Caenorhabditis elegans: one gene and its partners. The protein of the gene in region 1 purifies or fractionates together with the protein of each later gene. This does not show direct contact. Each region holds a gene or a part of one and is shown in the gene's direction. Other genes may lie near its edges. The genes, in order: sir-2.3, mccc-1 and pcca-1.

Region 1 (3,753 bases):
CATGTGATTACATTGAATCAAGGTACATTGGACTGAATCAACTCAATTATGGAAAAAAAAAAACAATTTCTCAATGAGGAATTGTTTGATAAAAGCTAAAACAAATGATGATTTACTAAAATTGAACAATCACATGTAGCGTAGAAAAAAGGATTGTTATACATATTTGGATTTAAAAAAAACGAAAAGATAACATTTTAACTAAAATGTTGAAACTTCCTCTAAAATGTATCGGTGAACTTCCTTATAACATATTTTAATTAACGTACATTCTTCCTAATTGATAATGTTTGATCATTGTAACTTCATTGACTTTTCGATTTCACTCCACTTCCTGAATGTGTGGAATGGCAGACAATCTAAGAGAGTATGGACGCCTCTTAATGTATCTAATAGGCCACTTCACATTTCGGTTTGTGAACGTAAAAATAACCGTTTATTTTATAAGGGATCTCATAAAATTAAAACGTTTCAACTTCAGACAAACGTACCAAGACCGACTTGATTACGCAAATCCTGGGTTTAAAGAAGAACACGTGGCTCCAGGAGAGCTGGCGCCAGATGGTGACATTATTCTACCGTTGGGAACTGAGAAAGTAAGTGTTTTACGGTGGAATAAGTCGAAAAATACAGTGTTTTCAGGGTTTCCAAATTCCCGAGTGCCCAAGTTGTGGGGGACTTATGAAGACAGATGTCACGTTTTTTGGAGAGAACGTTAACATGGACAAAGTCAATTTTTGTTACGAGAAAGTGAATGAATGTGATGGGATTTTATCACTTGGCACGTCGTTGGCGGTGTTATCTGGATTTCGGTTTATCCATCATGTAAGGCTAATGGGATTTACTGGATGACTTTTTTGGTTATCTAAAAACAAAAACGTTTTGATGTTTCCGTGGGTAGCACAAAAATTAACTATTTAAAAAAATTTCAAACAACTTTTTTAGATTGTTAAGAGTCCTTCAAAAATAAAAATGTAAACTTTCAGGCTAACATGAAGAAGAAACCAATTTTCATAGTCAATATAGGACCTACAAGAGCTGATCACATGGCGACGATGAAGTTAGATTATAAAATCTCTGACGTTTTAAAAGAAATGTAGACTAAGACGTGTAGTTTTGGAATTTGATAATATTGTGTTGACGACAGTTTTTTGGGTACTTTCCGTTTGTATTTTGAAACTTTTTTTTATTGTTTGAATAGAATGGCAATTTGTTTCATGTTAATTGGAATAAACAATTTTTGATGAATATGATTGTGAAAATGCGTTATTTTCAGAAAAAAAATCATCTACTCCTGCAAAAAAAGTAACAAAATTGGCAAAACAAAATCCTGGAATTAGGAGATAGACTCAAATATTTTACCAAACAGCTTTTCTATATTATGAGAATATAATCACTTTTTGTTCATCAAGGATAACTTGCTTAGTTCTTTTTTAAAGTTTATGATTCTTCTTTAGTAGTAGTTTTTTTTTTTAAATCAAGATTCCCAATGGGATGATCATTTTAAACATCGCACCATATTGCTTTGATGACATGATTTAAACTATTTCAACACCTTCGTAAGGTTAGATTTTTATTATCAATTTTGTCAAATATTTTATTTCCTCATTAAACAATTATTTTTAAAACCTTGCTATCAAAAAAATTGTGGACTTTGTTCTGTACCTAGATAATCTTCCAGCTGTTGGTTGGTCTCCCATTATTCTTTCATTTTCGGCGGACCCGCACTCTCTGCCGGCGTTTTCCTTGGCAATACAGGAAGAGGTTACTGGATTTCTCTACTCTACTCTCTCGCCTGTGCAAATAGAGCGCGATTCATCCAAAGATATATTTTTAAGGGTTTTTTGAATGAACGTGATTCAACACAATTAGCTGTAAGATCCGGACTCGAAACTCTTGTGAATAATTTTTCAATAACGTTTATGAATAAAATTAAAAAAAAAACTGTTCTTATTGTTCTTCATTATTTTCACTTGTTTTGACAATCAATTCATCTTCGACAGTATTTTAGGAATGGCACGAAAGTATGTACCACATACGACAGAGCTTTGTGAAAACTCCCTAAAAAAGTTTAAGTCACTGGTAGGGACTGTGGATAAGCTTCTCATCATCACTGGAGCAGGAATTTCTACAGAATCAGGTTTTTTTTCAGGTACAGGTACAATCAGGTACAATATAGTTTTCATTTTCAGGAATACCAGATTATCGATCGAAAGATGTCGGATTGTACACAAAGACTGCACTTGAACCAATTTATTTCCAGGATTTTATGAAATCAAAGAAATGTAGGCAGAGGTGAGAGTACTTTTGAAATTTGTTGGGCCTTACTCTTGCAATTGTGATATTTCAATTTATAAAAACTTTGTGCCAAAGACTTTGAAAAAAGGCTCATAACTGCTCTCACGTATTAATATCATTACAATTTTATAGGTTTTATGATTCAGTAACACATTTTCTTTTTGGCATGCTTAATTATCTTTTGTCTTCAGATACTGGTCTCGTAGCTACTTGAATTGGCCAAGATTTGCTCAAGCTTTACCTAACTTCAATCATTACGCCTTATCAAAATGGGAAGCTGCTAACAAATTTCATTGGTTGATCACACAAAATGTGGATGGACTTCACTTAAAGTAAGTGAAGTTAACAAAATGAAAATATTAAAATAAAAGTTAAGAGCGGGCTCGAAAATGATAACGGAACTTCATGGCAACGCTCTTCAAGTAAAATGCACATCATGTGAATACATCGAGACAAGGTAAGGAATGAAGAAAAATTGGTACTAACTGTTTTGAAATTTGAAATTTAGAACTTTATACTTGGAACAATTTTGAACCAAAACAGGTTTGTACTTGAATGGAATTGAGATAAAAATAGAATGAATGTTAGTTGTTTCAAAATTATTAATAACAAGCAGTTACATATATCTATTTTTGACATTGCTCGCGTAAATCATCTTTTATAATTTCAGACAAACGTATCAAGACCGCCTGAATTATGCAAATCCTGGCTTCAAAGAGCAGTTTGTATCTCCTGGACAGCAAGAGCTAGATGCTGACACTGCCTTGCCGTTGGGTAGCGAACAAGTAAGTTTTTTTTTCAACAATTAGAAACAATTGCATAAAAAAGTTTTACAGGGGTTCAAGATTCCCGAGTGTTTAAATTGTGGGGGACTTATGAAGACAGATGTAACGTTGTTTGGGGAGAACCTAAACACTGACAAAATTAAAGTTTGTGGCAAGAAGGTGAATGAATGCAATGGAGTTTTAACACTTGGGACATCGTTGGAAGTGCTTTCCGGATATCAGATTGTCAATCATGTGAGAAAACAATTTTTTTAAAAATCAGAGCGACTATGTTTTTTAATTGCTGTCAAATACAACAGTCAAAAAAACCGACTTACTTAATCATACCACATTCGACATTTTTGGCAAAATTTCGCTTCGTGTACTAGAAATTCTGAGAAAATATAAAAATCGCTCCTATTGGCTTTTTTTTGAAAACTTTTGGCTACACACTGTTTATACATTCCTAAAATAAAATTACTTGTCTCACTCGTCAAAAATTAATTTTCAGGCCCATATGCAAAACAAACCAATTTTCATCGTGAACATTGGACCTACTAGAGCTGATCAGATGGCAACAATGAAGTTAGACTACAGAATTTCGGATGTTTTGAAAGAAATGTAAAGCAAGATGTGTGGTTTTTTAATTTTTAAGTTCTCATGTTCTCATGTTCTCATGATTTATAAGGGT
Region 2 (3,753 bases), on another chromosome or scaffold:
ACTCCATATTTAAATTAGTTTTTTTTTTGCTCAGCTACATTTGAAAACCCCGGAAATTTCCAATTACAAGATAATTTTCGCATTTTGAATAAAATTAGTTTATTTTTTAAGTGAATTTCGATGAAAATTATAATGTTGAATCAAAAAATAACCTACTAACCTACAAATCTTGGCCAAATGATGCCGAATATCATTATTACAGTTGTATCTTTCCATTGAAGTCATTAAACTTTTAAGATGCATCATTGTTTGCTTGTGATGGGCTGCTTCATGCATACCTATTGAAAATATAAACATTTAATACACTTTTTTTTTAATTTATTGTACCTTGTGCTGTCTTTTTTACATCCAGTGGCCTATCGTTCAGATCCTTAGCCCATCTTGCGAGTATATAACGGCAAATTGAAAGAATAATATCACAATCTCGTTTCAAATCGTCATCTATAAAAAGTAATATAGTTTCGAGAAATTATTTCAAATCTCATACCGACGCTCAAAAGAGTTGAATTATGTTCGATATTTTTCCAATTATCTTCTTCATATCCTTGTGGAAGAGCAATATCATGTCGTGTTGCACTATCAGCTGTACCTTCAACCACTGCCTGCAATATTTCATTTCATGAAATTTGAATTAATGTTATTTTTAACCTTATCCATTTCTTTTCCGATAACTTTCATTGCTGTTTGTAATTCATTTTCCCATCCTTCATTGAGATCAGGTTGAGCAAGTTCTAACTGATGAAGGCGTTTACGCACATCAATATCAGTTTCACCTGAAAATTAATTTTTTTAAATACGATTTTGGAAAATGCCAAACCGAAAAGCATAATTGGGTGATTTCGCTGGCGAAGACGTGTTTGAATTTCCGACATTGGTGTTTTTTCATCAATCTCTGATTCGTTTTCCACGGGCGCGGGTTTAGTTCGACTGGATGATTCTTGAAGTATCTCGTCGTCAACTTTCTAAATGATGTCTTTTATAATGATTTACTATATGATAATTTAATTGCAAATATTATTCAGCAATACCTAATCCTTCTTTATTAGTGTCAGAAAATTTTATAAGACAAATTCCTACAACGAAGTTTTTAAAAGAAAACTTACTCGTTTCTTACTAGCTATTTCCTGCTGTTTTCTTTCGTATTCCTGATTTCTTTTCATTTCTAAATCAGCGCCTTTGACAAACTTTGCGTTTCCTTCTTTTACTTCCATTCCAGACACGGCTTTTCGTTTTTTTGCCATTTCAGCAAGTAGTTTTGCTTTGAAATCCATTATCTGAAGAAATAATAATAGAAGCATTGATTTAAAATAAAGTAAAAAAAGAAACTAACGGAATAAAGGAAAAAATGGAAACCGGATGAAAATCGTCAATTTAAGATTTTTATTCGAAAATGAAGAAAATAGAGAGACAGAAAATGAGAGACGCAGACAGCGCAATGCAAACACGCTCGATTGAGAAAAGTTTATTTTATTGCTGAAACATGCTCCACATCCGCTTTCTGCTCTTTTTCTTGATATCTTTTTAATTGAGACATCTTCCCAATATGTTTTTATTTTCAGATGCTTGGTGTATTCCAAAAACGATGTGCCTCAACTGCCCCTCTAATTCGTCCCATTCAACGGGTTTTAGTTGCAAATCGTGGAGAAATCGCCATTCGCGTCCAAAATACCGCTCGTAAAATGGGAATTGAGACAGTTGCTGTTTTTTCTGACGCAGACCGTAATTCCCTCTTTGTTAAAAAAGCTGACAAGGTAAGAATCCATAGTATTCGTGAAGTGTTAAACTGAATTTAATGTCAGGCATACCACATCGGCCCTCCTCTTGCAGCGGAAAGTTATCTGAATATGGACAAAATTATCAACAGTGCATTGCGATCTGGAGCACAAGCTATTCACCCAGGATACGGTTTCCTATCTGAAAATGCTGGATTCGCTGAAAAATGTGCTCAGGCCGGCCTTGTTTTTATTGGACCACCAGCCCAAGCTATCAGGGATATGGGAGCCAAGAATGTATCGAAGCAAATCATGGAAGATGCTAAAGTTCCTGTAGTAAAAGGATTCCACGGAGAAGATCAATCAGATGCTAATTTGAAAAAGAAATCAGCAGAAATCGGTAATTTTTTAAAGTATAGCCCCACATAAATTTATTTAAAATTTCAGGCTACCCGGTTATGCTGAAGGCTGTCTATGGTGGAGGTGGAAAAGGAATGAGAATTGCGTGGAACGAGGCTGAATTCGAAGAAAAACTGGCTTCAGCTCGTAACGAAGCTAAGAAGTCGTTTGGAAACGATGAAATGCTCGTGGAAAAGTTTGTCGAGAAGCCGAGACACGTTGAAGTACAAGTTTTCGGAGATCACCATGGAAACTATGTTCATTTATGGGAAAGAGATTGCTCCGTTCAAAGACGTCATCAGAAAATTATTGAAGAAGCACCAGCGCCAAATATGGGTAAGTCAGTCTCGTGAAAAAGTTTTAAATGAGATTTAATGTTTTTGCAGAACATGATACTCGTGTAAAACTCGGAGAATCAGCTGTTCGTGCTGCGGCGGCTGTGGGATATGTTGGAGCAGGTACCGTCGAGTTCATCATGGACCCGCGTGGCGAATTCTACTTTATGGAAATGAACACTCGGCTTCAAGTCGAACATCCCGTCAGTGAAGCTATCACAGGTATAGATTTTATAATGGGAGATTGGAAATTATCAAATAATTTGATTTCAGGCACGGATCTTGTTGAATGGCAATTACGGGTAGCTCAAGGAGAGAAGCTTCCACTGAAACAATCAGAAATTCCATTAAACGGTCATGCATTTGAATGTCGTGTGTATGCCGAGGATACTCGTAAAGGAGCATTCATGCCAACTGCGGGACGTCTTAATTATGTTGACTTCCCGGAAGATGCTAGAATCGATACAGGAGTTGTTTCTGGAGACGAAGTATCAATCCATTACGATCCTATGATTGCTAAGGTAAGTATTTCAGAACAGCTTCTAAACAATCATCTCCTTTTCTAGGTGGTAGTGTGGGGCCAGGATCGTGCTGTTGCTGCTGCAAAATTGGAAAGTGCTTTGGCTCGTACAAGAATCTCAGGGCTACCCACAAACATTGACTTTGTCCGCAGAGTTCTTGCTCATCCTGAATTTGCCGCAGGAAATGTTTATACCGATTTTATCCCTGATCACCAGAAGGAACTATTTGCTGAATCTGAAACTCCTGCTGAAATTTACGTTGAGTCGGCTGTAGCACATGCTTTGGCTGCCCTTCAAAAATCAGATGCAGGTGTCTTCCAGAATTTATCTTTCTTTAGAATGAATTTGTCACCAAAATACATTTTCAAAATAGGTAACGCGTTTAGTTTGATAAAGAAAAATAAATAGCTTAAATTCAGACGGAAAAGATGTCAGCATTAGATTTGATTCTGATAGTCGCCTGACAGTGTCTTATGATGGCAACAGTTATGAAACACTTCTCAACGACATTGAATCAACCACAGACGGATCTTTCAAGTTTACATTGGAAGCTAATGGCAGGCGCTGGAGTACTGTCGTTAAAAATCTAGGAAATAGTTTGATGGTAAGTTTGTGTCTCAACAAATCATAGTTTTGAAAAGTTAACTTTAAGGTGAATGGAGTTGGTCAAAACGAATATGAAACTCCACAAATCCATGAAACATTTGATTCGTTATCCGGAGGAGCAGCCAGTCATTCTGCCGTCGCACCAATGCCAGGAATTATTGAAAAAATTCTTGTGAAGCC
Region 3 (3,753 bases), 5.7 Mb from region 1:
ATATTCATGTGCTACTTATTAAAATGGCGAAAAATTAAAAATCAATGCCCTGTTTTCGCGTCTTATTATTATTTTTTTGAGAACTGTACAACTTTTCGTATTCGCAAAAAGAGCTGCCCGAATTGTTTTTCTGTCTGCGTCTAGTTTGTCTTTACACGCTCTATTATTGAGGTCACCATTGGTGTCCTTATTGATTCAGATAGTATCTCCTCTATTACACGAAGACACCCCTTCTTCTATCGTTTGAGAGAATCAAAAAAAAAAGAAACCAACTATTCATCTCCACTTACTTTTTGATTCTCGTACACTATGTAGAATATAGCCAACTAATGATAACATGATAAAATCTAATTTTTTATTTCAGTTTCTGCTCTCTTCAAGTGTGCCGGTCGCTTCGTAATTATTTGGGTGTTAAGTATTCCGCTTCAGATCCATCATTTTGCAAACTGACACTTATTGAAATGTCGGACTATTACAAAACTCCACAACTCTTCTGGTGGCTCCTCATTGTTCCAGCTCTGGCTATCAACTACGTAAGTTTTAAGGTTTCAAGTGAAAAAAAACTATGTTTGATAAAAATAGATATTTCAAAGCTTCCACTTCGATCTATATCTTTGATTTTTAGATTTCTTACGCCCATCCAGCAGCAGCACTTAATATTCCATTAATTGGATCTCTCGTCCATAAGATTGGAACTGAGTATCCATTTGTTGCTCTTTTAACCAACCTTTTCGCCCTTGTAGCACACGCCGGTGAAGCTCTTTACGCTCTTTATCTCTGCCATAAAGCCAATATCAGGTGAACTTTTTCAGTTGATTTTATAACAAATTGTATTTTCAGTTTTGCTTCTACCGCAAAATGGGTTGTCCAAACGTTTATTCTTGGTTTCCCGTCACTCTCTATTCTCAGTCGATACGAAGCCAAGCAGAGGAAGAATAATTGACTAGTAGTTGAAAATGTGTCTGATAGTTCCTAAAATGTATTAATTTTGTTTTTTTTTGCCAATGCAATGAACGACCATTTATTATCAAATAAAATGAAGAAACTCAACGAAACATTCTCAAATAAACAACATGTCGAGAGAAAGGCCAGTGTGTGCAAAGACGCAGAGAAGATCACTGCAAACGCGCTCCGTTGAGGTTGCTGTGTGAGATATCTTGGACAACCCCGCGCATTATTGGACTGTTTTTTGTTGTTTTATTGATCATGTAGTGGTCAATGAGCAGGTCATTCTTGCCTTCGCTGTTGCCAGAGAAGGTCGGCTTTTTTCTTCCCTGTTTTTGGTGATTTTGCCGTTTTTTTTTGTGTATTGAGTGTACTTACTGTGTGAGTCTTTAGATTTTCCGTTTCACGCATACACGTTTTTTGTAAAATTATTAGTTTTTGTAGGACTCTCGGTTCAAAAATTATAGAAAACGTGCAGACTGGACTATGAATTATATTCGAAGTTCTTCATTGTAACATTGTGAGGTCGTCTTTCCAACTCTCAACCTATCCCGGTGATTTTCTCGGTTTCTCTGCGTGTGTGTGTTCAGAGGACGAATACGTGCAAAATCGCAAGAAATGGGCAAAGAGAGAGAGCGGGGCAACTGCGCTTTGGGTCCATCAGAAAAGAGAGATAGACAACTTTTGTGAAAATCTTGTTGCGGGACAAGGGCACCGCACTTCTTGCTTTTCTCTTTTCTGGCCAGGCTATTTACTTCGTTGCTCAGTTGCCATTTCTGCATGTTTTTCTTATTTTTTCTACTAGTCGAAGTTTTCCTTCATAATCAATATAAAGAGAGTTTTCAAGGCATCGCTGTTTATCACTTAACTGACCAAATCAAATCGGTCGTCCTTATCTTTCTCCATCGAAGTTATACACGAAACTGTTTTTCTCCATCATCTTACTTTTTTCTTTTGTGAACTGCTGATGTCGTTGTTCATTTTATCATGAAAATCATTGTTTTTAGGTTGAACCATGCTCCGTGCTGCATCCAGTATCCGCGCTGTGGCCAATCGTGGATTGGCAACTGCTGCTGTTGCCAGACCAGGAGTGTAAGTTTCTGAAAGTTGTATTCGGTTTTGAGATCAATAGGTTCAATTTCAGACCACTTGATGAACGTGAGGGAAAGGAGATTTACACTACTGTAGGAATCGATTACAATGAGCCAAAGTTCGACAAGATTTTGATTGCCAATAGAGGTAATCTCAAGCATCTAAAAGAATCTTAGATTTAATCGTCTATTTTACAGGAGAGATTGCGTGTCGCGTGATCAAAACTGCCAGAGCTATGGGAATCAAGACAGTGGCCGTTCACTCAGATGTCGACAGCAACTCGCTTCACGTAAAGATGGCCGATGAGGCTGTATGTGTTGGAGAAGCTCCAACTGCCAAATCCTACCTACGTGCTGACCGCATCTTGCAAGCTGTCGAGGACACCGGTGCTCAAGCGGTAAGAATTCTAACGTGTCTATGTAATGGAAGGATAAACCGCAAAAATCAAATATCAGAGGAGAATGTAAATTCTGTGGCATGAATCTACATGCACAGTAGCACAAACATATTACCCAGACATCCGACAGAGAATAGAGTTTTTGCAAAAGTTCAGAACACCGCTCCAAATCAACTACTACTGTTCAAGAAGTCAGAGCGTTCGCGCTTAACTTCAAACGGAGAGAATAGCTTAAAAAAGTTGCTGACTGAAAAAATGTGAAATAAAACATTCCCTACATTTTGATAATGCTCAATTTTTTCATGCTCATATCACCTGGCTGAGATATGAGGGTTTGAAGTGATGAAGCTCTAGAGTTCCCTCTTATGGCCTGTTGAAAACTGTGGTGAGGTCAAATTATGAAAAGCACGAATTACCGCATTTTTCAGAGGACAAGCTAGGGTCAAACAGTTTGACAACCCGAGCGAGAGCTTTTGGCTGTGTAGCAGCTTAAGATTTACCGTAATATATTAGAAACCAGTTACTTGTAATATGCACGTGATATTCACCTACTTTCACTACGAAACACAACAAAACAAAAATTCTGTGACAAGTGACCAAGTGGTCTCTTTCCAGTCTCTAGCATCTCGCGTGTTTCATTTTCAAATAGTCAAAGTCAAATGACGAGAGATAGATTGCAAGTGTCTTCTGTTATGTTTTTCAAACAGAACTGCTAAAAACGTTGAAAACATATATTTGCAGGTTCATCCAGGATATGGATTCCTTTCCGAGAACACCAAGTTTGCCGCCGAGCTTGAGAAGGCTGGAGCCAAGTTCATCGGACCAAACTCTAAGGCTATTCTTGATATGGGAGACAAGATTCATTCAAAGAAAATCGCTACCGCAGCCCGTGTCAGCATGATTCCAGGATATGACGGAGAAATTGCTGATGAGGATATGTGCGTGAAAGTCTCCCGCGACATTGGATACCCAGTCATGATCAAGGCTTCTGCCGGTGGTGGTGGAAAAGGAATGCGAGTTGCCTGGAACGACAAGCAAGCTCGTGAAGGATACCGTTTGTCCAAGCAAGAAGCAGCTTCTTCTTTCGGAGATGATCGAATGCTCGTTGAGAAGTTCATTGACAACCCACGGCACATTGAGATGCAGGTGCTCTGCGACAAGCATGGAAACGCTTTGTGGCTCAACGAGCGTGAATGCTCCATTCAGAGAAGAAACCAGAAGGTTATCGAAGAGGCTCCAAGCAGCTTTGTGCCACCAGAGATGAGACGCAAAATGGGAGAACAGGCCGTTCAGCTCGCCAAGGCTGTCGGTTATGACTC

The links.
Region 2: the proteins of sir-2.3 (region 1) and mccc-1 purify together in Caenorhabditis elegans (affinity purification with western blotting, with the first as the bait; one study listed by BioGRID). This does not show direct contact.
Region 3: the proteins of sir-2.3 (region 1) and pcca-1 purify together in Caenorhabditis elegans (affinity purification with western blotting, with the first as the bait; one study listed by BioGRID). This does not show direct contact.

The regions. Positions count from the first base shown.
Region 1 is NC_003284.9:13,330,003-13,333,755, forward strand, and holds the start of sir-2.3 (NAD-dependent protein deacylase sir-2.3), read left to right. Parts: upstream 1-2,011; 5' UTR 2,012-2,013; coding exon 2,014-2,140; intron 2,141-2,192; coding exon 2,193-2,295; intron 2,296-2,489; coding exon 2,490-2,630; intron 2,631-2,674; coding exon 2,675-2,755; intron 2,756-2,968; coding exon 2,969-3,083; intron 3,084-3,134; coding exon 3,135-3,317; intron 3,318-3,573; coding exon 3,574-3,687; 3' UTR 3,688-3,753. Other genes in the region: NAD-dependent protein deacylase sir-2.2, read left to right, coding at 1-22, 482-596, 643-825, 987-1,100. UniProt on the Caenorhabditis elegans protein: NAD-dependent protein deacylase. Catalyzes the NAD-dependent hydrolysis of acyl groups from lysine residues. Plays a role in oxidative stress resistance.
Region 2 is NC_003282.8:9,883,011-9,886,763, forward strand, and holds the start of mccc-1 (Methylcrotonoyl-CoA carboxylase subunit alpha, mitochondrial), read left to right. Parts: upstream 1-1,559; coding exon 1,560-1,751; intron 1,752-1,799; coding exon 1,800-2,112; intron 2,113-2,159; coding exon 2,160-2,447; intron 2,448-2,497; coding exon 2,498-2,668; intron 2,669-2,719; coding exon 2,720-2,967; intron 2,968-3,012; coding exon 3,013-3,340; intron 3,341-3,386; coding exon 3,387-3,571; intron 3,572-3,619; coding exon 3,620-3,753. Other genes in the region: prp-18 (Pre-mRNA-splicing factor 18), read right to left, coding at 161-278, 328-441, 488-602, 649-773, 818-962, 1,104-1,271.
Region 3 is NC_003284.9:7,659,186-7,662,938, reverse strand, and holds the start of pcca-1 (Propionyl-CoA carboxylase alpha chain, mitochondrial), read left to right. Parts: upstream 1-1,952; 5' UTR 1,953-1,960; coding exon 1,961-2,037; intron 2,038-2,089; coding exon 2,090-2,184; intron 2,185-2,234; coding exon 2,235-2,434; intron 2,435-3,175; coding exon 3,176-3,753. Other genes in the region: dhs-29 (NADP-retinol dehydrogenase), read left to right, coding at 365-533, 626-798, 841-943. UniProt on the Caenorhabditis elegans protein: This is one of the 2 subunits of the biotin-dependent propionyl-CoA carboxylase (PCC), a mitochondrial enzyme involved in the catabolism of odd chain fatty acids, branched-chain amino acids isoleucine, threonine, methionine, and valine and other metabolites.